Linked DNA regions of Danio rerio. The protein of the gene in region 3 interacts with the protein of the main gene of each other region in a biochemical or structural test. Links are inferred from orthologs where the notes say so. Each region holds a gene or a part of one and is shown on either strand. Other genes may lie near its edges.

The links.
Region 1: the proteins of dlg1b (region 3) and pkp4 interact in a test that uses a peptide from one of them, tested with the Homo sapiens proteins (2 studies listed by IntAct, with this or other methods). The link is inferred for Danio rerio from reciprocal best matches to the Homo sapiens genes DLG1 and PKP4.
Region 2: the proteins of dlg1b (region 3) and pbk form a complex in vitro, tested with the Homo sapiens proteins (2 studies listed by BioGRID and IntAct, with this or other methods). The link is inferred for Danio rerio from reciprocal best matches to the Homo sapiens genes DLG1 and PBK.
Region 4: the proteins of dlg1b (region 3) and ptenb form a complex in vitro, tested with the Homo sapiens proteins (2 studies listed by BioGRID and IntAct, with this or other methods). The link is inferred for Danio rerio from reciprocal best matches to the Homo sapiens genes DLG1 and PTEN.
Region 5: the proteins of dlg1b (region 3) and net1 form a complex in vitro, tested with the Homo sapiens proteins (3 studies listed by BioGRID and IntAct, with this or other methods). The link is inferred for Danio rerio from reciprocal best matches to the Homo sapiens genes DLG1 and NET1.
Region 6: the proteins of dlg1b (region 3) and cysltr2b interact in a test that uses a peptide from one of them, tested with the Homo sapiens proteins (2 studies listed by IntAct, with this or other methods). The link is inferred for Danio rerio from reciprocal best matches to the Homo sapiens genes DLG1 and CYSLTR2.
Region 7: the proteins of dlg1b (region 3) and vangl1 interact in a test that uses a peptide from one of them, tested with the Homo sapiens proteins (2 studies listed by IntAct, with this or other methods). The link is inferred for Danio rerio from reciprocal best matches to the Homo sapiens genes DLG1 and VANGL1.

What each region holds. Positions count from the first base shown.
Region 1 is NC_133181.1:13,256,592-13,260,891, forward strand, and holds the start of pkp4 (plakophilin-4), read right to left. Parts: upstream 2,801-4,300; 5' UTR 2,652-2,800; exon of another isoform or gene 2,401-2,651; intron 2,301-2,400; exon of another isoform or gene 1,492-2,300; intron 1-1,491. UniProt on the Homo sapiens protein: Plays a role as a regulator of Rho activity during cytokinesis. May play a role in junctional plaques.
Region 2 is NC_133195.1:42,642,316-42,645,198, reverse strand, and holds the end of pbk (lymphokine-activated killer T-cell-originated protein kinase homolog), read left to right. Parts: intron 1-51; coding exon 52-234; intron 235-1,536; coding exon 1,537-1,769; 3' UTR 1,770-2,383; downstream 2,384-2,883. UniProt on the Homo sapiens protein: Phosphorylates MAP kinase p38. Seems to be active only in mitosis. May also play a role in the activation of lymphoid cells.
Region 3 is NC_133177.1:5,236,410-5,239,909, forward strand, and holds part of dlg1b (discs large homolog 1-like protein), read right to left. Parts: coding exon 3,383-3,500; intron 1-3,382. UniProt on the Homo sapiens protein: Essential multidomain scaffolding protein required for normal development. Recruits channels, receptors and signaling molecules to discrete plasma membrane domains in polarized cells.
Region 4 is NC_133187.1:19,011,133-19,014,632, forward strand, and holds part of ptenb (phosphatidylinositol 3,4,5-trisphosphate 3-phosphatase and dual-specificity protein phosphatase PTEN), read right to left. Parts: intron 775-3,500; coding exon 730-774; intron 452-729; coding exon 408-451; intron 323-407; coding exon 84-322; intron 1-83. UniProt on the Homo sapiens protein: Dual-specificity protein phosphatase, dephosphorylating tyrosine-, serine- and threonine-phosphorylated proteins.
Region 5 is NC_133179.1:12,146,762-12,149,820, forward strand, and holds part of net1 (neuroepithelial cell-transforming gene 1 protein), read right to left. Parts: intron 1,909-3,059; coding exon 1,633-1,908; intron 1,142-1,632; coding exon 1,079-1,141; intron 906-1,078; coding exon 809-905; intron 720-808; coding exon 643-719; intron 558-642; coding exon 300-557; intron 205-299; coding exon 34-204; exon of another isoform or gene 1-33. UniProt on the Homo sapiens protein: Acts as a guanine nucleotide exchange factor (GEF) for RhoA GTPase. May be involved in activation of the SAPK/JNK pathway Stimulates genotoxic stress-induced RHOB activity in breast cancer cells leading to their cell death.
Region 6 is NC_133190.1:3,203,655-3,207,621, forward strand, and holds the start of cysltr2b (cysteinyl leukotriene receptor 2), read right to left. Parts: upstream 2,801-3,967; 5' UTR 2,528-2,800; intron 1-2,527. UniProt on the Homo sapiens protein: Receptor for cysteinyl leukotrienes. The response is mediated via a G-protein that activates a phosphatidylinositol-calcium second messenger system.
Region 7 is NC_133184.1:34,712,173-34,716,241, reverse strand, and holds the start of vangl1 (vang-like protein 1), read right to left. Parts: upstream 2,801-4,069; 5' UTR 2,656-2,800; coding exon 2,443-2,655; intron 1-2,442.

The DNA.
Region 1 (4,300 bases), on a different chromosome or scaffold from region 3:
TAGTGTATATATCTATGGTGGGCAATTTCAGCGGTTAGAGTGTTAAGAGTCCAGGGGTGGCCAATCCTGTTCCTGGAGAGCTACCTTCCTGCAGATTTCAGTTGCTACCCATATCAAACACACCTGAACCAATTAATTAGGACCTGAACACCACCTGATAATTACAGGCAGGTGTGTTGATTATGGGTTGCAACTGAAATCTGCAGGAAGGTAGCTCTCCAGGAACAGGATTGGCCACCCCTGGTACAGACGGTTCTACACTTAAATATTTACCCGGAAATAGCAAACCATCCGGGAATCTCTGGCATACTCTTTTCAACATACTGTGGTTTGGGACATACTCATTCTATTTTCAAATACTATTTAGGACGCATAGTATGCCGATTGGGACGCAGAACAATCTTCATGTAAAGCAACACACCCCTAAATCAACAACCTGTGTACACGCCCCCCCAAAATAACACTTTTTAACACATTCTAATAAAAAGATCTGAATTGTGTTTTGAACTGAACCTAAACTGGCACACTCAGAAGAACCATAATATTAATATTAAGTATTGAAAAAGGGGTAAACTAGGTGCCCTTTAAACAATATTTTTAGCGTGTTTTCGATGCAGGTTTAGACTTTTTATTAGTGATTGATTCCTCACCAAAACAATGAATGAATATTCGAAAATAGTCTAAACATTTGTTGTTGTCCTTTAAAGATGCACATGAAAGAATGATGCACCGGTTGCGTGCCAAGCTGTTAATGTGCAGACATTTCCACACCCCTAAACATGATGCGGCACTAAATGAAACGTGATTGGTTTGTTAACATGTCAGTCTTATAGCATCATGGGCATTCATTGACCATTCAAAGTGGCCAAAGCTCCCAGCCATCAGTCTGAGGTCTGGCTACACAAGACTACTGAATGACTAATTCAAACAATTCATTCGAAGCAGACGATTCATTTCAAAACGAAGTGACAAAGTAATCTTCATTATCTTTTAAACATCACACACTGAGATACATTTTAATTAACAATTTATTAAAACATGCAGATTTATGTTGTAAAGCTATCGTTCATGACAAGTTTGTTGTTTTATATTGATTTTATATAGTTTATCACTAGTTTGTTGTATTTAGTAAGCATAAAACTGTTAGCTTAGTCCATAATTCCACCTAACATTTTGTCAGTGCAGTCCTCATTGGACTTAGTGGAATACATATGAGTGATGACACTGCACGATTGCACTTTTCATTCAGATGAACTGCCCAAGAAAACCAGTTCACAAAAGTGAATCAGTCTTGCCATCACTAATGTGCAAAACATCCATACATAATCCAAAGATTTAAAGCTTAAAAACTTCATAAATGGCAGGGCCCCACTGTGCTGGCATTTACAAGAATAAAATCCGAAATCCACTTTAGAAGTCTTTAAAATCCCCACCCACCTCCACACCGGATTTACCGAGAGTCTCCTGTCAGTCAGAGCCCAGGGTTTATATAGAGGAGAGACTAGAGGCGAAAAAACCAGCAGCAAGCCATGCTATTTACCATGATGAGCGAGAAACAGTAATAAATTGTAACTTATTGGAGTCATCTGACATTGCTGCGCACCACCACATGCACAGGTCTGTCAGAGAGATCATTCTATCGCTTCCAGCGGATACCAAAAGTCGGCCTTGGCCATTTTAAGCGCACACCCCAAACTCCCCGAAAAAGCACATAACATGCCAATGCAGTGTAAAGACAGCCGAATCTCTGAGGAACACGTCTTACTGCATCATGATGCATTGTCCCTGCAATCTTTACATACTGTAATTGTGGACTGCTCAAAGCAAATCACCGCACAGCAGCAATTACATGGTGCACAGCAGCAAACCTGCATTCAATCTAAACTCTGGTCAATATGATGAGGCAGCTGAAACTGCAACCACACTCCCATTACAGTCCAAACAGAGACAGACTGCTTCTGCTGGAGATAGAAGCTGGGCTTGAATGATCAAGAGCAGGAGTTATTCTGAGAGAGATGTTGCTTAATTATGCATAAAGAAAAGTGTCTAAGAGGTGGTCCCGGTGACAGCATCTAGCGGTTATAATGGAGACCAGCCTACCTCACAGTGAATGCTGTGGGATACTGGGCTGTAGCACATGTCACAAGGATGGAAATGAATGCAACTAACTAATGTAACGTGCAATGCACTGCCCAGGTTAGGAGATGATGACCAGATGGAGTAAATGCGCCATGCAGGGACAGATGATGGACCAGAGATGATGATGATGATGATGGGAGGTGTAGGAATGTCCATTATAGGTACACCTGCTCAAGTTATTCAGCATCATGCATTGAACAAGGCCACCAGTTATCAATTATGTAAGCATAACTATTGTACTATTGCATATTTTCTGCACAGTCCATCGCTGCAAGGAAGGAAGGAAGGAAGGAAGGAAGGAAGGAAGGAAGGCAAATGAAATGAGCTTCGACGGGAAAGCAAACAGTTTCTCCGCTTGTGCGGTGAACACAGCGTCTATTACAGCTCAGATTTGAAAAGGACTGACGGCGAGATCTACCGATAAATGACAAGCAGCGATGAATTCCCGCCGCCAGCGCGCGCCAGATGTTAGAAACGCTCCGTTGGAGCGACGCGAATTCACCAGGACTTACCGCAAAAACGCCGAAATGCGAATTAGTCGTGGAGACGATTAAATCCATTGGTAAGAGAAACCCGGGATGACATTCTTTCCAAAGGTGTTTTCAGGCGATGAACGGGCGGCTCCGGCTTGGTCTCGCGCGCTTCCATGGGCAAGAGGGTCAGAGCGCGTGACGTAGACGCTCCACATAGAGAGATGCCGTTTCAGGGCATTTAAATGTGTTGCCATGTAGTCGAACGGGAGTTCATTCGGAAAAAACGGAGTTCCCGTCGAATTCCGTGGAAAATACGTTTACACCGCGAAAACAACAACCCCTTAAATGGTCACATGAGTGACCATCTGCTCGTAGTGCGCATAAACGCCCACAAATTCGTTACTTTGAATTGGTTGATGTATGCGTTTAGTCTTCTATTGGTCGGATTTAAGAGGATTGGGGTTACACAAAGTCCACACAACTTTGGGGAAGACTCGCCGGCGCATCATAAATATTTTGTACGACAATAAAAATACGATTTTCCAAAGGGGGTCTTTCGACGCGTATATTAGGCAACATTGCCATCGTGTGGATAAAGGGCATCTCCCTCTGGGCTTCCTTCATGGGAACATTTTGGAGTACAAATAGTTTTCTTTTTATCACATAAAGGTTTATTTGTAAATAAACAATTAGGAAAACAGAGAAAATTAGGATATTCCTGGAAATAGGCTACCCCTCACATCACGTAATAGTTAAAAAGGTGCTGGATATACTCTGGACACCCTCTGCTTTAGTCATCAGGATTTTGCACCTCATCTTTTAGCTTCAAGGAAAGCCTCTCATGTTTTGCCAACTAGTCAAACATACCGAGCCTTGGACCTATTAGAAGCTATTCAAAGTCCAGCATTCAGAGCTGTTGTGAGAACCTGTGGGACTATTAGTAATTTCAGGCGTCTCTGCCCACTGTTTGTACCTTTCTTTCCAAATCCAGTTGGATTCACACAAAAAATGAACACGTTATGGCAAGCTGTGTTAACAATTAGGATATAATCTTACTAGTATAGTACATGCATAGGTCCTACATGTATTTTTCATGCTACGAGTTAGAGAACATTCATTCATTCATTTTCTTTTTGGCTTAGTCGCTTTATTAATCTCGGGTCGCCACAGTGGAATGAACCACCAAACTTATCCAGCATATGTTTTACGCAGCGGATGCCCTTCCAGCTGCAACCCATCACTGGGAAGAATTAGATAACAGTATTAAATTATTAGATACTAGTACCTATTAAATAAACACTAGTAGCCTACTTATTTATTAAGCCCAGGACACACCAAGCCAAAGAACTAGCAGTGATGAAAACCGCCTGCATTGTCAATTTTTTCTATCATATAGAAAATTAACAGTATGACAAAGACACTAGCATATTTTTTTTATGAAATGTTAAAGCGGCTTGACACTCATATGATAAGATATAGATTCCAAATAAATTCCATAAATAAATAAAAAAAGGTCATTTATATAAGGGAAGTTCATCCTTTCCAGCTGTAGCAAGTCCACATCTGGTGCTTAGCAGATGTTGAACATCCATGTGACTCACTGTAGACTAATTACAGAGTCTGAAAGCTAAATGCCCAAGTCAAGGGTGGTATAATGATTGAGTAGGACTGTCAGTAACTCCACAGTT
Region 2 (2,883 bases), on a different chromosome or scaffold from region 3:
TTTGCCTCTTCCACCTGTTTTGAGTGATCAAGTTAAGCTATCTTTCTTCAGTGAGTGATCCAAAGGCTCATTACATTGGGACGGAGCCGTGGAAGCCCAAAGAAGCTTTGGAGGATGGAGTAATCACAGATAAAGCTGATATCTTTGCCTATGGACTCACACTGTGGGAAATGATGACGCTTTCTGTTCCTCACCTGGAGATGCTGGACACTGAGGGTGATGAAGATGATGATGGTAAACTTACTGTTTCTAATCTCTCATCTAGTGCTTAGCCTCAGTATGCTTTTACTGATCTTTAACCCTTGTATATTGTTCAAATTGACTACTCTTTCGTTATGTTCGTGGCTATTTTTGCCCCATTGACTTCCATCATAATCAGATTTTTGGCATTGCAGAGCTATGATATTAGTCATCTATTCTTGATTGTTGTTGTTTATCCCTGTTGAGAAGAGGTGAAACCTTTTATTTGTATCGTTGATCATCAGTTCGTACCATTAACCTTTTTGATAGTCATGGGTAAAAAAAGGTTTCTGGCTTTTATATGTTATACGAGTTCTGTGGAGTAAAAACCACAAATTACATTGTGCATGCATAAATACACTCACAATGTTTACTTTATTCTGAGACCTGAGCTGCTTGTTTTTTTATTTTCTCAGACATATCGTGGTAAGTGGACAAAGGTCTCTCACATGCACACACGCACACACACTGTTGTGGTTTCCAGCTGTTTCAAGAATGAATCAAACTCAGTCTGGAGGTTCTGATTATCAGAAGAATCTATTTTATTGAAATATTCTCCAAAAAAGCAGACATCTATAAGCAGACCTGTCTCTAGTATCTTCCCAGGACGATCTAAATTGTCTGTTCTGTCCATTCTTTATAGTTTTATACACAGATATAACTATATGTGTGTCAGTGTTTTACAAATAACCTCCAGCAGCTTCAATTAATGGTGACCCCACATATTTCTCAGCATGACACTCATCCTGCACACTCCAGCAGTTGTCACGTTTCTTCTCAAAATTCACCACCAGCTGATGCCCTTTTCCGTCAAAATACATGTCTATATAACTATTTATATACATTTATCCAGGTTGACATGTTCACTGCACTACATACAAAAACACAAACACTATACTTTATATAATTAAGTCAGAAACTGAGCTGTTTTTGCTCTGCAACTGATGATCCACAGTAGAAATTACCAATTTTAGCTCTTCCCAACAGAAAATACCACCAACAATTAAGACTGATAATATGCTGTGATGGCTTTGCAATCAAAAAATCTGATTATAATGGAAGTCAAAGGGGCAAAAAACAATCACCAACATAACGAAAGGGTAGCTAATTTGCCCCGACTTGTTGACTTTTTGAACATTTTCAAAGCATTAGTCCCAAGATTTGTCACCAAAAGTCATTCTATTTGCTGAAACAGAGCAAGTTGTGACCAAATTAAGACTCAAAATCAGCTTAGAGTGGATGAAAACATCCCCAACAGCACACAGGGTTACATGTCTCTCTCTTCTTTTTAAATAGACGAGTCATTTGAGGAGGATTTTGATGAAGATGCATATTATGAGCGGCTGGGGTCTCGACCGGCTCTGGACGCAGTGACTCTGGGAGGCTCTTATCAGAGGATGGTGGAGCTCTTCTGTCTCTGCACAGAGGAGGACCCTCAGAAAAGACCCTCAGCAGCTCACATTGTGCAGGTGCTGGAGTCAAACAGCCAGCTTTCCAAGCAAAACACTGAGGTAATTGTAATCGATTAAATGCTCAGTTGCATTCCTGTCAACGACGAATGCTGAAAATTCTGTTTCTCCGAGTCTGAGTTGTGTGTTTGAGGAAAAGAACATCATTTTTGTTTTATTTCATGCTGTGAACTGATGACATTTAGAGGATCTTTTTACAAAAAATAATTGAAAAGGTGCCATGTTTTCATACTCTAATGGCCATTTTTAACTTCAGAATGGTTAAAAAAGCAATATATGCTGGAATAACCCTGATTTTCATTCAAATCAAGTCATAATAATTGTTATTCGGACTGTTTTTTTTTTTTTTGTGGGGGGGGGGGGGGTGGAAGGAAAAACACCTGGAAGAAATGTTATCAGATCTTTTATTGAATAAAACAAATATTAACATTTTCCTGAACCCTACTTTTACTAAGAAATTGAGAGAAACTCAGAATTTGATTTATTTTTGGTTCCCTTGCTGTATGTTTACCTCTAGGGATTTTACTGTTTGAGATCTTTGTCACGTTGTAAATATGTTTCTGTTTAAAATGAGTCATGTTGCATAAGGTCTTATGTACTCTGCTGATTTCAGACATGCTCTCGATCATACTGTAACTGCAGTCAAATTTGAAATAAACTGTCTGTGAACTTCAGCTTGCTTAAGATTGTTTAGTTGCACAGATTGCAGTTTAAATATTGATCTACTGTATGAAGACAGTAAAATATATACATTTCCTACATGTTAAGTAATATTATGTAATAAAACATTTCCAAATGTTAGCAAAGAGCAAGAAATGTACATCTAGCGGTTTCTTCGTCTTGCTGACGACTGCGCAGGCTACTTGTATTATTCACTCACAAGATGCCGCCATATAGTCAAGAACAGCGGGATGACAGGCATGCTCTACCGGTGAAGTTGCTAATACTACCATATCTAGAAATAATATACTTTGGAATGTTGTGATGTCTGACCATGAAGAATGAAGTATTCCAGACAAAGTTATACATTTACATAGACGTATATAGTAAAGATCATTCATTAACCATTTAGCATTTTGGGGATTTTCAAAAACCAATTAAAAAAACAAAGACAAAAGAAATCATCTGTAAATTATGCAAACTAATGAGAAATATTGCTGATCTGGACTATAGG
Region 3 (3,500 bases):
ACAAATGAGCAGCCGAGTGCATTATGTGGGTCATTTGCATAAAACACACCCACTCCGTTTCCAAATAAGGGCTTTCTGCAAAATACTCTTAAGTCGTGTGCCACTTTCTGCAGACATGCTGTTGCCAGATCCTCCAGCAATGCCAAGTGTGCCATTGTCAAACCCAGCTCAAACACATACAAAGACTACAGAACTAGCTGTATATCTGCTAGGGCTCCACAATATACTGTAAAAGTATCATTGGCATGATAGCAGTATATGCAATATACAGTTGAAGTCAGAATTATTCGCCCCCCTTTGAAATTTATTTTTCTTTTTTAAATATTTCCCAAATGATGTTTAATAGAGCAAGGGAATTTTTACAGTATGTCTGATAATATTTTTTCTTTTGGAGAAAGTCTTATTTAATTTATTTTGGCTAGAACAAAAGCAGTTTTAAATTTTTTAAACACCATTTTAAGGACAAAACTATTAGCCCCTTTAAGCTATATATTTTTTTCGATAATCTACAGAACAAACCATCGATATACAATAACTTGCCTACTTACTCTAACCTGCCTAGTTAACGTAATTAACCTTATTAAGCCTTTAAATGTCACTTTAAACTGTATAGAAGTGTCTTGAAAAATATCTAGTCAAATATTATTTACTGTCATCATGGAGAAGATAAAATAAATCAGTTATTATTATTAAAACTATTATAATTGGAAATGGTTTGAAAATAATCTTCTCTCAGTTAAACAGAAATTAGGGGGAAAAAAAAACAGGGGGGCGAATAATTTTGACTTCAACTGCATGCATCACAAACATGTGTGATAAATTACATTTATTTTATGCATTGGTTGTTAATCTAAGGGTGTTTTTACACCTGCCTTATTTAGTTCTGCTGAAACGCACTTGAGTTCGATTTCCCTCTTGTTGCATTTCGTTTGGGCAGGTGTGAATGTAGCAATTGCACTCGAGTGTGCATCAAAAGTGGAACAAAAATGCGTACCGAGACATCTTGATCTTGGTACGCTTTCAAACAAACCCTGAAGCGGTTGTTTGTGGTGAGAACATGATCCAAACTAAAACAGACCCAACCGCAAAAAGTACTGCGCCTTTTTGAACTAATCCAGCTGCCGTAGCCTGATGCTCACAGGCCTTTTCTTTCTTTTCACATGCAACGCTTTATACAGGATTAGCTTAGTTTTAAACCTTAAAAAACCTTTAAACCCTTTGTGTAATAACAATGAAAAGACACAAGAATAAAGTACTGAGCTACTGAAACGTACTTAATGCTTTATATAAAAGGCTTCTTTAATGATGACAACTTCAAGACGCCTCTCATATGGAGAATGAAGTCACATGCATTGCTCAGGTGCGAGTTCTTCACAGACTTTAACATAGTGTAGAAATCCTGAGGGTTCGGTGGGTCTTGTCTTTCAAATCTGAGATTTATTTTGTATTTTCTATATTGGGTTCAGGTCAGGTGATTGGCTGGGCCATTCTACAGCTTGATTTTCTTTCTCTGAAAGCATTTGAGAGTTTCCCTGGCTGTGTTTTAGATCAGTGGTTCTCAAACTGTGGTACTTGTACTTCCTTCTAGTGGTACGCGGAGGAATCAAATATGTCATATGTACATGCTATATATATATATTTCAAAATGTATCAAAAATGATTTATATATGAATATGACATATAATAATATTTATCATGTGATACATAGCCTATATTTCTGAGGTCCAGGCAACATTTTCAGGTGTTGATGAATTGACTACTATATGTAAATACTTTACATTTAAGTACAGCACTTTTTTACTTTTTAAGAACAGTAACCTACCATTTTAGAACCACATTTTAATTTAAATGTTGACATTTTTTGTTTGTTTTTTACCTGTAAACACAGTACAGTGTTAACGTTTAGACTATTTATAATGTTTAAAGTGGCTGACAATAATAACTATTCTTAATAATAGGAATTAATCTGACACATTTTGAACTGTACAGAGCTGTAGCTGCTTTACTGGGCTTACTACGCTACTGTATTTTAATACTGCTCATTATGGTGGTACTTGGAGAGACCTTTTTTTCTGAGGTGGTACTTGATGAAAAAAGTTTGAGAACCACTGTTTTAGATCATTGTCTTGCTGAAATGTCCACCCTGGTGCCATCTTCATCATCCTGCTAATGTAGATGTTGGACTGAAGCAGCTGATATTCATTTACAATGAGCCGCTGTCTGGGCTACTACTGCCTTTCTACACCTCCCTTTCTTCATGTGTTCAAAACTTTTTTTCTGCGTCAATTCTATTTTTTTTATGTTTTATTAATACATTGTGAAACATTACAAAAATTTACAAAGACATAAACATGTAACAATAAGCAAATACACTGAAGAGTATTTTGAGCAAATAATAATAATAAAAATAAATAAATAATAATAAATAAAAATAAGATGATAAAAATAAATAGATAAATAAAATAAAAAACAACAACACTAGTGCAAACTTATATACATAAAAAACAAGTCTACAATGTGTTGACCAGAAATAGTTTCCCGTAAAAGCTGGGCATTAGGGGGTGGGGACTCAATCAGAAGGAGCAGGGTAGAGCTGAAGAGTTTGGACATATTTGCGAAGGGGTTCCCACAATTTAATAAAAATAGTGCTAGTTTGGTGAAGAGAGTACCTCATTTTTTCTAATTTCATAAAATAAAGAACATTTCTTATCCAAAAAGAGTGAGAAGGAGGGTGAGGGCTCTTCCAGTTCAGAAGAATTAATCGCCTAGCCAGAAGGGTTAAGCATCAATTCTTTTTATTACACATAATTTCATTTGTAAACTATTTAGATTTGTTTTCTTTGCATATATGGGTTTATTTGGATTTATAAGCAACATCCAGTGAAAATTTCAAAACAACGGCACCTTTAGAAATATGTTTTCTGAAAAAAATAGGGATGTGTTCAATACTTATTTTCCCAGCTGTACTTTCATCTCCTAATGGTAAACATTTCAGGTTCAAACAAACACAAAGATCTTGCGATCTCATCCTGTGCTTCAACCAATCAATATCTTAACCTAAACACACAAATAGGCATTCATTTAACATTTTTCCTTAATTAGACAACCCTAAGTTAACTTGATGCGAGTCGAGAAGTCAAGACCTGTATACCGCAGAAACGTGCTTGGAAAAAGCGTTAAACTAATCAACACTTCTCCAGAATGTAACCTCAGCTTTTTCCTCTCTTCTGATGGGGAACTCAGGCCTGGGCTTCAGTATCTAAGTATAAACTCAGAGATAACCAATTACATTAAAACTGACCTTACATTAGGATATGTATAATCTTAAATGAACATGTACACTCTAGAACATCCAACATAATAAGATCCAGAGTTTCTTTACCTTTGGGTCCTTTGATGAGCTTGATCTCCATGACTTTTTCTGAGGCAGATTTTCTCCTCCTGACATACAGTCTGACCAGCGAGCCTGCCTCCTTCAACGCCTCCACAGCCTTACTGTG
Region 4 (3,500 bases), on a different chromosome or scaffold from region 3:
TTCACATTTGTATACAAAATCTGCATATCAACTTTTTTAAAAACAAAATGCAAAGCAGAAATATGTTCATATATATTTCTCACCTTCTTGTCTCTGGTCCTAACTTCATCGTAGAAGTCCAGAGCCTCTTGTGCTTTTTTGAATTTGCCTCGGTGTAACAAGTACGCACAAATCATGACACCCGTTCTTCCCTTTCCAGCTTTGCAGTGAATGGCAGCCACATGATTGTCATTTTCACTGAGCCATTTATCCAAATCTTCACAGAAAGGTTTAATGAGCTCTAGCTGAGGAGGATTGTGATCCTCAAATGGATACTGTGCAACTGCAAAAGATAAATAAAGAGATCATTGAGAGACCATCAACGTTACCACACAAAAACTGACATTTATGCAATCCAAGCCTCTTACCTCTGCAGTTAAATTTGGCAGTATCGTAATGTCTTTCTGCACATCTAAACAACACAAAGTAAAGCAGATAAGTACACAAGTTCAACATAATACTTTTCTGCTTAGAACTTTGCACCAATGCCAAAACCAACAGAACAATCGGAGTTAAGTAAGGGATCTATGTGCAATGACAAAGCCCTCCATTCACAACGATCAAACAGCCGCCTTAATCTTCAAGTGAACATGATTGCAGCTTTCAGAACATTCTAGCAGTAAAAGCAGTTTGATGAAACCCATTTACAAAACCGATATCACAGAACTGAAGTTTTTGAAACACACTTACAGGTTATATATCTTGTAATGATCTTTATGCTTTGAATCAAGAAACCTGCAAAACAAGATAGAACAAAAGCATGTTATAGATTTTAATTAAAGGAATAGTTCATCCAACAAAAGCTCAACAAAAAAACAAAAAAAAACAAATGAAGGTATTTTAATGGAACTGGATTTCTGTTCTTTCATTGAAAGTCCTTCAAAATAGTTATGCTTAAATGTAATCAATCCGAATCAAGTGCTTTAAAGCAAGTCTCCTGAAATGGACTTGATGGACAGATTTCATTTAGGTTTTTATTCACTTACAAATACTGATTAACACCTTACTGGTTCATATGGAAGATCAAATGTGCTAGTGGGACATGAGACCAAGCCTCATTAATTCTCACGTCAATCAAGTACAATTGAGAGTCAAGTTTACAATATTTACAACATATGTCAGATGATCAATTGTTATATGTTAATAAAATCCTTAATTTATAACTTCATGTCTCTTCAGAAGATTAAAACTGATTTGCTTTTAAAAGTTAGCTATGGATGTAACAATACAATTTCTTTTAAACAAAATTTTATTTTACACCATTACTTTTAGGGATCCACAATATTACAGGAAATGGAACATCATCAGCATTGGTCAACTATGTCTCAAAATGTACATTTGAAAAAATCACGCTAATATGCCTTGCCGATATGTGTTGAGTATATGCCTGCAACAGCATGCATGTGCAAGAAGTGCTTGCCTTAAATCGGAGATGCCCAAAGTAGGGCCTGCGGGCCAAAGTTGGCCCATTGTAACATTTGATTTGGCTCACCATCCCATCTTGGAAGAGGGTAAAGTGATGGAGAGGGTTGTTTTATTGCTGAGCTACAAAAAAGCTAATTAAACTCAAATAATTAAAATGTACATAAGGACTAAGCCGAAGACATCAGTAAGCAAATCAAGGCAAAAACTACTGTAACTCAATTCTGTTATAAATTAGTAGTTTTTACGGTAGTAACTTCATTATAAAATGTAAAAAAATTATACTGTATTATTTAATATAAAGCAATGTTTTCTAGTAATATTTAATTCTTTTAAATACATTTTTAAATTACCCAAGGCGATTCTATTTACATTCAGCCCATTAGCATCAAACAAGTTTGGTTTTTGGCCCTTTCTCAAAAAAAGTTTGGGCAACCCTGCCTTAAAGAATGTAATATGATAAGTTAAGTTTGTTTTATATTATTCAAAAGCATATGTGCACCACACATCCTAAAAAAAGTGAAGTCAAAACATTGTGTGTCCTTGGTGGCGGGATATCTGTCCTGAATCGGATGAGTGTTCTACTCAAAACAAATCAAATCACACTTCTAATCACTTGTTCCCAGAGAGGACTTGCCATTTTATGTACATTCAGATGTTCATTTTTCTAATATATTCATTGAGTTACATGCTGCTATACAAATTAGCTGTGCGCTTTCAGTGAGATTTTTGTTTTGTGCTCCTGCCACTTACGATCACTACTGCACAGATTTGGGCATTTAAGCAAAGAAATGACAGCAGCCAGGCTGGAACAATTTAGCTATATTGAAAGAAGTAGAGCCTTTTTTGGGGGTGTGGGGGGGTCTAGCAGTATTCAGGTACAAAAATTTAACAATTTAATGTAAAATAACATGGTATGTATAAACCATTTAACAATAATAGTATTTAATAATATCTTTATTTGTTTTAAATAATCCAATCCTGCGATGTGACTATTGCAGATACATGCATTGCAATATCGCTACTCAACTGATTTATCCTTCAACCCTACCCCCAAGACATTCAATCATCTTTGGAATATAAATTACGATATGAAATCTGACAGCTCCCTCGTCCTGCATTGACAGCAAGCTCCATTGACCACTTTCAAAAAGAAAACCTTGAAATCCAGAAAGGTACCAAAAATTTCTTCAAAACAGACCATATGCCTTCAGCAGTTCAACTAGAATTTTAACAAGCTATGAGAATCCTTTTGTGCACAAAAAAAAAAAAAAAAAAAACATTAGTCAAAGATTCTTGTCCTCAGTGTCAGTATATTGTGCATGTTTATTGGCACTGTACACGGATGTGACCTAACAAATTGCCCTATACTGACACTGAGAAAAAGAAAATGTTCAATAAAGTTGTTATTTTCAATTTATACGTGTACAAATGTATTTTCAAAGCTTGCTAATATTTCGATTGAGGCATATAATGCATATGCTCAGTTTTTAGGTATTTTCTTGGACTTTGCTGTTTGTGGAGGATAAGGAAGCTCTTAGATTTCATTTAAAATATCTTTGAGTTCTATAGATGAATGAAGGTCTCAGTGGTTTGAGAGTAATTCATGATATAATTTTCAATTTTTTGTGAACAAAGCTTTTAAAACAAAATACCAGGTGTTTTGGAAACAAAAATTTGAATTTTTATTATCTGCAAAGCTACAACACTCAATTTTCAATTTTACTATGCTGTCATTCTTTGCATTGGGAATCGACAGAAAGGAGTAAAGATGAAAAAAAGTTAATGTGAACTTCTATCTGTGTTCATTGCGTGTTCTCATTATTGTATTTAATTTGTAGATAAAGTTCTATGGTTTTGCATAAAAGGTACTTTATCTTGTTGGGGTTTATTGTGGTTTTTAACTCGTGTTACTTGCTACCAGGTGTCTGTTAGATAATGCATGAGTAGAAAAGACTATAAATTGAAACTTAAAGTGGTTAAAAGAAAAGGCTCTGGCTGTGGCAAAATATCATACGCTATGCATTGGTATTTCTTCC
Region 5 (3,059 bases), on a different chromosome or scaffold from region 3:
AGCGGTTTAGACTGTGATGGATGTTAAACTCACCGTGCCACTTTTGTTGCGAAGTTCCCCATGGCAAAGCAAGCTCTTGCACTGCTCAATGCGTGGGTCTTTCTGCTTGTCTTCCAAATATTCCAGCTTATCGATATAGTATTGACATTCTGACTCCCCTTTCTTCATGTTTATGTCAGCCAGCACTGCTTGAATGACACTTATCTGGAGACAAAGAACGAAGGCAATATTAAAACCGAATGTCCCCAAAACAAGTGTATCTGAAGGCCTGCAGTTGTTAGATCGGTGCTTGCTCTTACCGCTTGCTCAAGACTTCCTTTGTCTGGGTGATCTGGTGGTGTGTGTCTTAAAATCTCTTTCAGAAGAAGAGGGTATTTGACCAAACGTGAGCGAGGGATGTCCAGGAAGCTCCATAAGTCTAGTTTCCTGCTGAAAGGTGACTCAAGGCAGCGCTGCAGGAAGTCTTGAACTCTTGGGTCCTGTTTCTTCTGATCGAGGAGGGCTTTGGCAGCTAGTTGGTTGCTACAGTATGCTCTGTATGCATTTAACCTTGGCAGCTGTGGTGGAAAGTGAGAGTTTTAACATTCCGAATGAACCACAATTAATTTGCCTCATAATAATGAACAACGAAAAGATGCTTACCCAGTCAACAACAATCTTGCCGATCTGTCTCACTGTGCCATCCGTACCTGTGGCCTTTGCCAATTGATCAAGAAGATCTGATAGGGTAAAAAAAAAAGTACGTTAACACTACTTGTTATCTCACGCAGTAATTAGGTGTGTCATGTAAATATGGTAGGTTATTTACCTTCATGAAGGGGAATGTAAGCATCCAAATCTCCAAAGATGGCTGTTAACTCCTCTTCAGACATAATAGAAAGTTTCAGCATTGGGTCATGGTATGCCTGGACACACAAAATGATAAAAATAATAAGCACAGCTTCTAATTTTACAGCCAGAAACTTTTGGCTATAAATGGAGGACGGAAGAAGGCCAAAGAGTCCAACTCCTAAAGTGCAGCCAAGAGCTTAAGCCTGTTTGCTTTGAATGTTCTAACAAAAAAAAAGAATGTACAAACCTTTCGGGCTAACTTCAGGTCTTCAATCAGGTCCTGTTCCCCTCGAGACAACTCAAAAATTGCCTGGAGAGACAGAAAACGAATGGTTACATTCATAACCAAGAAAACTGTTTGGATATTTTTAGTCAAGGCTCTGAGATTCAGTCTGTTTCTCTCTTTGGTGGGAAATGTTTGAGGGGCTCACAGTTTGCTGAAATGTCTCATTACTAGCTGTAGTTATGAATGAGAGGTAGGGGCTTAGTGCGTCAGACCAGCCAGTCTGTGTTAGCACTGGATGTCTGACTCTGAGATGCCAGAATTCAGCCGCACTTTTTCAGCTCGATTCAACTGTGTGCCAAGAACACACGCCAAAAAAACAAGGCCAGACGAGAGAGGTAGTGTGAGAGAGAATAAAAACAGAGAGGAGGAACAGGGCTCTTTCCAAGCCCCAGGCCCTTTGGGTTTAATAAGTCACACAGGCCTGATTCAGTAGCGTCTGGCAGGGGACGGAGAGTGGATTTAATAGTCTAGGTTTTTCAGTGCTGTCTGGATTCTCTTGCTCCGGCTGTACTCACCTCTTGTCTCTTAATCTCTTTGGTGGAAAACGTTCCTTTCTGGTGGACGTCTAGGGTCTCTGACCAGAGCGTGCTGTTCCGGCGCTTCGGTGGTGTGGGAGCTGCAGCCTTACTGCATGGCTTCTGCTGGGGCACGCCCGGAGACCGCCCGTCACCCCGGAATGAGGCCTGGAGGGTCTGGCCGAAGCGTCGGACGGCCCCATTCTTCACGGGAGAGATGAGGTTCGCCAGCGAGGTCACTCGGCCAAGAGGCCGCACACGCTTAGTACAGGGTTCCTATGGGACACATGGATAAAGATAAACATTAAAACTAAATCACCCCCCTCTGACCACAAGCGATCCCTTAGTGTTTTACCAACTGCACAACTGCCAACACAAGAAGGCTAATGTTAAGAATACACCACAAGCTGCTGTCTTTCAAACATATGAGTCACAGGATACACTCTCCACTGGTGCGGGTGTGAAGGGGTCAACTGGAGGTCAGGTCAATTGGTGGTTCCTGGGTGACAGACAGCTAGGCGGATGCTCCATTCTTTGGAGTTAACAGCTGTAAGCCGGTCACACAAACATATACACGTGTGTGTACATATATATGTATACAAATATACAAATACAAACTAAGACCCTTTCTGACCACAACCCTGGGGGACTCAGAGTTCAAAAGGCATTTCTGGAATTTAGGAGACTCCAGTCAGCTGTCCCACACTGATGACCCACACACACTCAATATCACAGCCTAACTTTAGCAAACAGGCCTCCTAATCAGAGCTGTTGTTCTCCGTACAGAAAAATGTGCCTTCCCAATGGTAAATTTGAAAGCCATTGCTTGTGTGTATTTATGTCGGTCAGATGGACCACCACGGTGAGTTACAGATCGGGCCTTGTAAACAATGAGCACTCTACCCCCTTTATCTTCCTCTTCTCTTTCCTTTCTTCCATTAAGTGCTGTTTATGACTTCATGTTGAGGCAGGCCCTGTAGGGCTCGCGTGAGAGATACAGACGCACCTGAACCCCTTGGAAGGGGGAGGTGAGCATTTTCAAACCCAAAATCCATAATGACTGGGCCTCCAGCCAACCTCAACAGACCTGGAAAGAGGGGGGGGGATCAAAGCAAAGCAGATCTGAGACCTTGATCATGCACTCTCTAGAGATCTGACTGAAAAACTACTACCATTGCAGGATCAATGCAAGCTTCGTTGACAAAAACTGGTTGCATCATTTAAGCAGCTGGAACAAAAAGCACTATGTGCTTGCACTTCTTAAAATGCACACTTCAATAGATTTTTCAGCACTGGATGGTTTTCCATCTGCTGAAATTTTATAAAGAGGGATGTGTTGTTCTCATCTTGGCATAGTGAAACCAAGGAACCATTCCATAAGCTGGCAGAGACAGTTGCTGAGCTAATCTATGGCTTAAGTCGCAACT
Region 6 (3,967 bases), on a different chromosome or scaffold from region 3:
ACTGATCTTTCATAAAGAATGTGTTGTTTCATTTGAAGAAGGTTGTTTTCTTTTATGAGAGAAACAAAAAAAATCAACCACTTGAAAATTCTCGGTTTCTCTGGATGTACTAGGTGTGGGATTCAGGAAAATGGTGATTGTTTTAATGTATGATGGTCTGATTGTCGGGACTCTTTTGTTTTGGTCTTGTTAATTCTCCAGTCTTTAATGCAGTGCTCGGCTCAAGTGTATACCACAGTGGGAGATGAAAGTATTTTGAGGTACATTTGACCTGATGTCAAATGTATGGTGGAGTTCTGCCAGTGTGCTTTTCACCTTACATACTGGCAGATTCACTATGCACCTGCCTCCTGAGAATGTCAGCAGTGACCACTCGCTCCCCCAGTGTACCCTTCAGTACCGAAGGGCCCTCTGTTGTTGGCTATAGCCCTATAGTGCAACTAGTTTCAGCTTCAGCTCAAGAGTTCCCCCCAGTGTCTGCGTCAACCCCAGAGTGCCCTCAATGTCGACGTCAGTCCTAGAGTGCCCGCCGAGGTTGGCTTCAGTCCCTGAGTGCCCTCAGTATCGGCTTTAACCCAGAGTGCCCCCAGTGTCTGCTTCAGCCCCAGAGTGCCCTCAGTGTTGGCTTTAGCCCCAGAGTGCCCTCAGTGTCTGCTTCAGCCCCAGAGTGCCCTCAGTGTTGGCTTTAGCCCCAGAGTGCCCTCAGTGTTGGCTTTAGCCCCAGAGTGCCCTCAGTGTTGGCTTTAGCCCCAGAGTGCCACCAGTGTTGGCTTCAGTCCCTGAGTGCCCTCAGTGTCGGCTTTAACCCAGAGTGCCCCCAGTGTCCGCTTCAGCCCCAGAGTGCCCTCAGTGTTGGCTTTAGCCCCAGAGTGCCCTCAGTGTTGGCTTTAGCCCCAGAGTGCCCTCAGTGTTGGCTTTAGCCCCAGAGTGCCACTAGTGTTGGCTTCAGTCTCTGAGTGCCCTTAGTGTCGGCTTTAACCCAGAGTGCCCCCAGTGTCTGCTTCAGCCCCAGAGTGCCCTCAGTGTTGGCTTTAGCCCCAGAGTGCCCTCAGTGTTGGCTTTAGCCCCAGAGTGCCCTCAGTGTTGGCTTTAGCCCCAGAGTGCCACCAGTGTTGGCTTCAGTCCCTGAGTGCCCTTAGTGTCGGCTTTAACCCAGAGTGCCCCCAGTGTCTGCTTCAGCCCCAGAGTGCCCTCAGTGTTGGCTTTAGCCCCAGAGTGCCCTCAGTGTTGGCTTTAGCCCCAGAGTGCCACCAGTGTTGGCTTCAGTCCCTGAGTACCCTCAGTGTCGGCTTCAACCCAGAGTGCCCCCAGTGTCTGCTTCAGCCTCAGAGTGCTCTTAGTGCTGGCTTCAGCCCCAGAGTGCCTCACAGTGTTGACCTCAGCTCCAGAGTGCCCTCGGTTTTGGCTTCAGCCCAAGAGTGCTCCCCAGTGTCTGCTTCAACCCCAGAGCGCCCTCAGTGTTGGCTTCAGCCCCAGAGTGCTCCCCAGTGTTGGCTTTAGCCCCAGAGTGCCCTTAGTGTTGGCTTCAGCCCCAGAGTGCCCTCAGAGTTGACTTCAGCCATCAGAGTGCCCTCAGTGTCGGCCTCAACCCCAGAGTGCCCTCAATGTTGGCATCAGTCCCAGAGTGCCCTAAGTGTTGGCTTCAGCCCCAGAGTGCCCCAAAGTGTTGACTTTAGCTCCAGAGTGCTTTCAGTGTTGGCTTCAGCCCCAGAGTGCCCCAGGGTGTTGGCTTCAGCTCCAGAGTGCCCCCAGTGTTGGCTTCAGCTCCAGAGTGCCCTCATTGTTGGCTTCAGCCTCAGAGAGCCCTCATTATTGGCTTTAGCTCCAGAGTGCCCCCCAGTGTTGACTTTAGCCTCAGAGTTCATGCAGTGTCTGCTTTGGTTCCAGAGTGCCCCCCAGTGTTGGCTTCAGCCCCAGAGTGCCCTCCAGTGTTGCCTTCAGCCTCAAAGGGCCCCTGAGTATCCACTTCAGGCCCAGAGCCCCCCCCCCCCCGATGTTGGTTTCAGACCAAGGGTGCCCCATAGTGTTGACTTCAGCCCCAGAGTTCCAGAGCATCCACTAGTGTCAGCTTCAGCCCTACGTGCTGTTAGGCTGGTTTTAGCTGGTCAACCAGGCTGGTTTTAGAGGGGTTTTGGCCCCTTTCAGGCTGGTTACCAGCCATTTCCAGCCTGGTCTTAGTTGGTCAGGCTGGAAAATGACCAGCCTTAACCAGCTAAAACCAGCTTGACCAGCCTGGTTTAAGTTGGACATAGCTGGTTTTGGCTGGATAAGCTGGTTTTAGCTGGTCACCTCCCAGCCTGACTAGCTAAGACCAGGCTGGAAATGGCTGGAAACCAGCCTGGAAGTGGCAAAAGTCTAGGCTGGTTTAAGCTGTTTTTTCCAGTAAATAAACAATTTTATTGAACATGTAATTTTTTATGTCTGTTCAAAAAGTAAGGGTTAAAGTGAAGGATTAACCAGTGTATCATGTATTTACAGTATAACGTTACCGATATTAGCAGTTAATATGTGGTTTTGCTGTAGTCACCATGTCTTGTAAGGGAAGTTTGAAATCCTGTGTCGCTCAAATCCACCCATATGAGACACTGCCAGCTGAGAGAGGACTGAACATCCACCTCAACTCGCAGACATGCAGAATTGACGCTTTACTCCACCATCTCCATCCTAATCTGCCACAGGAATGAAGACCTTGACGATTCATTTAACACGAGGTAAACATTCAGAGTTTTATTTGTAAAACTCGACGTGAGACGGATTGACACTTCTCCGTGACGTCATTCTCACTCGGCTAACATCAGCTAGCAGCTTTACCCATTCAAACACCTTTAGTTGTGTTTAGTTAATTTAACAACTTTCGTATACATTCGGGTGGTGTTATCTGACATGTTAGCTTGAGCTTCGTGCAGACTCGAGGACTGTTTTCGTCTCTGCAAGCAGTGGAGGTGTTATGAAAATAAACGATAGTTAGCTTGTTAGCTAACTAACAGCTGAATAATAATAACGCGTCTTTGTTTACACATGCACTCATTAATGCGTTTAAAAAGTACTTAGATGTTTTACAGCTAACGTTACTATTAACGCAGACTTTGTTTAGTCACACGTTGTTTGGTTTGTAATGTTTTATTTAAGCTAATTAAACTTTGACAGCTATGTTATTTCAGTAAAACTTGACGTATTTAGATGAAGTTATTATATTTACACAATATTTAGTATTATAAATAAATCACATTAGCAGCCAATGACTAGGAAAGTACACCATGCTAGTGTGATTTTAATGTCACTTTGCATGCGAATTCAGACCCAATATTCAAAGTAACGTGGTAAACAAGTACGTTTAATATATAAGTTGTCACTGAACGAATGTGGAAATACAAAACCAACCATACCTCAATATGTCACCTGTATTGTGTTTTTATTGGCTTTTCACTTAAGATAAAGTGCTTTAAACAGGGTTTCTGCTTGGTTTTTAAATGTCTTTAATCTCAAAATTTAAATGTTATGCCGTAAAAGTCTTAAAATAACTGAAATATTGTGTTTTAGGTCTTAAATCTTTTTTTAAACCGGTCTTAATTTTCCTTTGTTCATTTATAGCTACCAAATCTGGCCAAAACCCATACAATCACCAACAATCATCTCAATAAAACTTTTTATTTATAGAATATAATTTTAACTCTATTTACCGGTTTAATTATATTCCTAACAATAACATTCGTTTAAAAGATCTCTATCTATTTACTGCTGAGGAAAGCGACCTGGACAGATTGTTGTATATATTTAGTTTATTCATTCATTCATTTTTTTTTTGGCTTAGTCCCTTTATTAATCTGGGGTCGCCACAGCGGAACGAACCGCCAACTTATCCAGCATATGCCATTCCACCCCCAACCCATCTGTGAGAAACATCCACATTCACACACTCATACACCACAGACAATTTAGCCTACCCAATTCACCTGTACCGCATGTC
Region 7 (4,069 bases), on a different chromosome or scaffold from region 3:
AAACACAATCGGTAGATGACAAAAATATCAAGTGGACATGTTTGTTAATCTGACTGTGAAAGAGTCAGTGACTCACCAGCCACAAACCTAACCGCACATCACTGTTTAAGGCGGCACTCATGTCTCATCACAAAGGGGCAAACAAAACTGACATTTTATCGGTTATCTCTCTCTTTTAGTATTTTAAAGTGAGATTTTGAAAACCAGATTTAAATTTAGCAGGAACGGTCTGGTCGGGGAAAAAAGGGGCAGGGTGGGCAGCGGGTGAACATTGGCTGAATATACAGCGGGAGCGGTCAGGCGCGGAGTAAAACCTGGCGGCAGCAGAATACAAAATTCGGTTCCCATACAGATCTCTAGTTCCAACCAATAGCCACTAGACTCAAGGAAATATATAAGCTGTCTATTCATTTCCTTCGTTTGGTTGTAGATACTGATGTGGACGTTCATCCACCATCCTCCCCAACACCACCAGGTTGGCCCTGTCTTGGAAGGGTAAGCTCCGCCCCTGCCTTCATCCTCGGCAGCCATAGCTGAATTTACAAACTTTCAATTCAAGTCAAATGTTAACCATCAAATAAATGTAATTCAATATCATTTTCATCTCCCTGGTCTTTCTGGAAAGGATCCTTTCTTTTTACTGAAGCTGCATTTATTTGATCAAAAAAATACAAAAAAGTTTACAATTTTACAATAAGAATAGTTTTTATTTTTAAAGTCCAGCTTGTGAAAAAACTGCCAGCAAGAACATCGTTTTTTTATGCTTTTAACACCTGCATTAATAATGGCATTATCAGTACTGTATATTTAAATAGTAAAAACAAGTTTTAGTAGCAGCGTGCTTGATTTAATTGTAGTTTCACATTATGTAAGTTCCATTTCTCGGAGAACAGTGTAATAATCAATAAACTGTACTTTTTTTCAGGGTCACATGATCCTTCAGGAACATTCTAACTGGCTAATTTAATGTTTAAGAAAAGGTGTTGTCATTAAAAATGCTGAAAGCACAATTTATTTAATTTAGAAAGCTTTTGTATCACAAAAAAAAAAACTCTGTCATTTTTATTCGGGCTGCACAATATATCGTTTTAGCATTGATATCGCAATGTGTGCCTTCCCAATAGTCACATCGCAATATCTGCAATATTGAGTTGGGATTAAAGCTTATGAGTACAGCCAGACAGAATCTGCAGACATTTTTGGTAAGTAATCTGCAGATTTATGCCGAATTATTTTGGGAGTATCATGACTAAAAACTTAATAAATAAAATAAAAAATAATGTTTTTTTTTTTTACTTTTATTTAATATTTACAACGCAAATCCATCTAGATCCACTTATTTGGTAAATAAAGCAAGTATCTCATATAATATCTCTACTAAAATACAGAAAATATTACATTACAAACTGTTTTGTAAATAAATCAAAAAACACTTTCATACTAGTCAGTAATATTACTGAAATTAATTTAAAAACAACACATAAATTTTCACGCACTTACACAATTAAATGAACAGACTCAAGGATGGGCTCAAAATCTGCAGACTTCTGCACGTGCAGATTCCGTGCAGGCCTATTTACAGGCAATGAAGACTGTACAGTGTTACTTTATACTACATTTGATTATTCAATTACTGAATATCTGAATATTGTTAGACTCCAGAAAACACTTCTTTTTTCACTTTTAACAATGCTCTACCTTATTTATGCTTGCAATTTGTTGGATTCACCGTACTGCAACAAAACGATTTCAATCAATCTAAATCCATACAAAACAGAGCTATTCAAGCCATCTGCTAAATTGTATTAATTCAATATATATCGTAAAAAAAAAATTACAATTTCAGATTTTTTCAATATCACGCAGCTCTAATTTTTATACTAAAAACATAAAAGTCCAAAATGTTTAAAGGTTAGTAAACCATATTTTTTTAGCCTAGATGTAAAAGTCTAAATTGCTATTTTGAGCTGGGATTACTTTCCTTTTATTTTGAAATTCTGAATAATATTAATATCTTTATTGTCACTCTCAATGTTTTTATTTAAACCACAGAAGTGCACATTTATTGGAATGATAGTGTAATAAATATTCTATTCTATTCTATAGTCATATTTCAAATAATATTCATTTCTCTAAATCTGAAGACTGGTTAATGCTTACACACACACAAATAAACATGCTTTGATTTCCCAGAATATTTGTTTAATGCTCCTTTTCCTTGAAAATCCCTCTGTCACGATCCCAGCCCCCCTGTTGCTTCATATTCTAACCCTTCTCAGCCAGAACAATGTCGAAACGCTGGATTATTCAACCAACGTACCGGTTCATTTCCCCAGGAGTAACTCAAGGCGTCTCCATCAAAGCCACAATGGCACTGAATCATCAAATATGCTGTGTGTGTATGTGTGTGTGTGTGTGTGTGTGTGTGTATGTGTGACTCACCTGGGCGTCTGTGGGGGCGGAGCTCTGATCTGGCTGCTGCGGCTGCACAGACGTCGCACTGATCGTCACATTCTTGTCTGAGCGGCTGCTGCTGTCGCGGCTGTGAGGCTTGTGTCGATCCCTGCTGCTGCGCTCACTGCACGACAGAGACACACATAGCGACGGAGGTGAGGAAAACGCACTCGCCATGCTGAACAGAGCAGGGAAACACATTCAAACTAACGACAGGATGGCCATCATCATCATTATCATCATTGCTCATTATCATCATCATCCTCCTCTGGTTTCCTCTATCCACGTCTCACACATGTCCTGGCTGGAGCATCTGGTGTAAACTGGGTTAGATGCAGTGAGCTGTGACGACCCTAATCCAAGCACAGCTTTCTCTCGCTCTCTCTCTCTCTCTCTCGCTCAGTCTTTTTTGTCATAGCTAATGTCTGTAAGCCTTAGAATAAAGCAAAGCAGATGAACACATGCAGAGGAAATACAAAGCTACTGCACACACATACTGTATTATATCAAACAGCAGCAGACAAACTGTAGACAACTCGTATTAGCAATGCTTGACATTAGCAAAGAACTCATAAGTATCTTATTGACTTGACATACTTTAGGTAAACACTGTCTGTTTAACTAGATGACATAAATGTAATACTTGGCAAGTGACTGTTTACATAATTGCTTGTTACTTTTGCTGTGCACACAAATGAAGCAACCTAGCAGTCAAGCTTGCAAATATTATCTATTTGGAAAGCTCTACATAAATGTGAACTGATTTCATTTGGTTATAGAGTTGAGAACTAGATTTGCCATTGCCTGGTGTTGTAAATGAGGGCGATGCCAACCCTCTTGTGCACCACCAGATGGAACCATCGCCAGAATTCTGATTCGACTCACGGACTCAAAATCCCATAAGCCCTGCTACCTGGCACTGATTACGGTCCAGGTGCAACTCATCAGCTTTCGTGTATATATACCACACTCACACTCCGGTTCGTTGCGAAGTCTTGATTTGCCTGGCTGTCATTTCTGAGCGTTCCATACTCCCTGCTTCGGACTGATCTGTGTTTCTGACCCTGTGCTTGTTCTACGATTACGAAAGACATCTGCCTGCCCCTGATCTCCAGCCTGTTATTCTGACCAGTAAGATATCTGCCTGCCTTTGAACTTTTGCCTGTCCCACGTTCTGTCTCCTGGATTGCCCCTTTGTGTTTGTTTGTATGTGTGCTCTTAATAAAGCTTGCAAATGGATTCAATGCCTTCTGACTCAGCACAACAGAAGACTTCGCCACTACAGAATCCAGCAGCTTTAGCACAAGTCTCGACTGAACTTTCCGCTCAAGCCACTCAGTTAGCCACCCATCATCAACAACTCACCCATCTAACTTCTCTCACGGAGGAACTGGTGAGAGCTATGCAGCAACTCCGTCATCCGAATCCTGCAGTTACCCCGCCTGCTACCATGACAGCTTCTCAACCAACGCATGTCTCCAATGCTCCGGCTACCGTAAGTCCCCGATTAGCTTTTCCTGAAAAGTTTGATGGGTCACCTTCTCGCTGCAAAGGCTTCTTATTGCAATGCAAACTATTTGTTAACCAACAACCTGCATTATATCCCACTGATTCT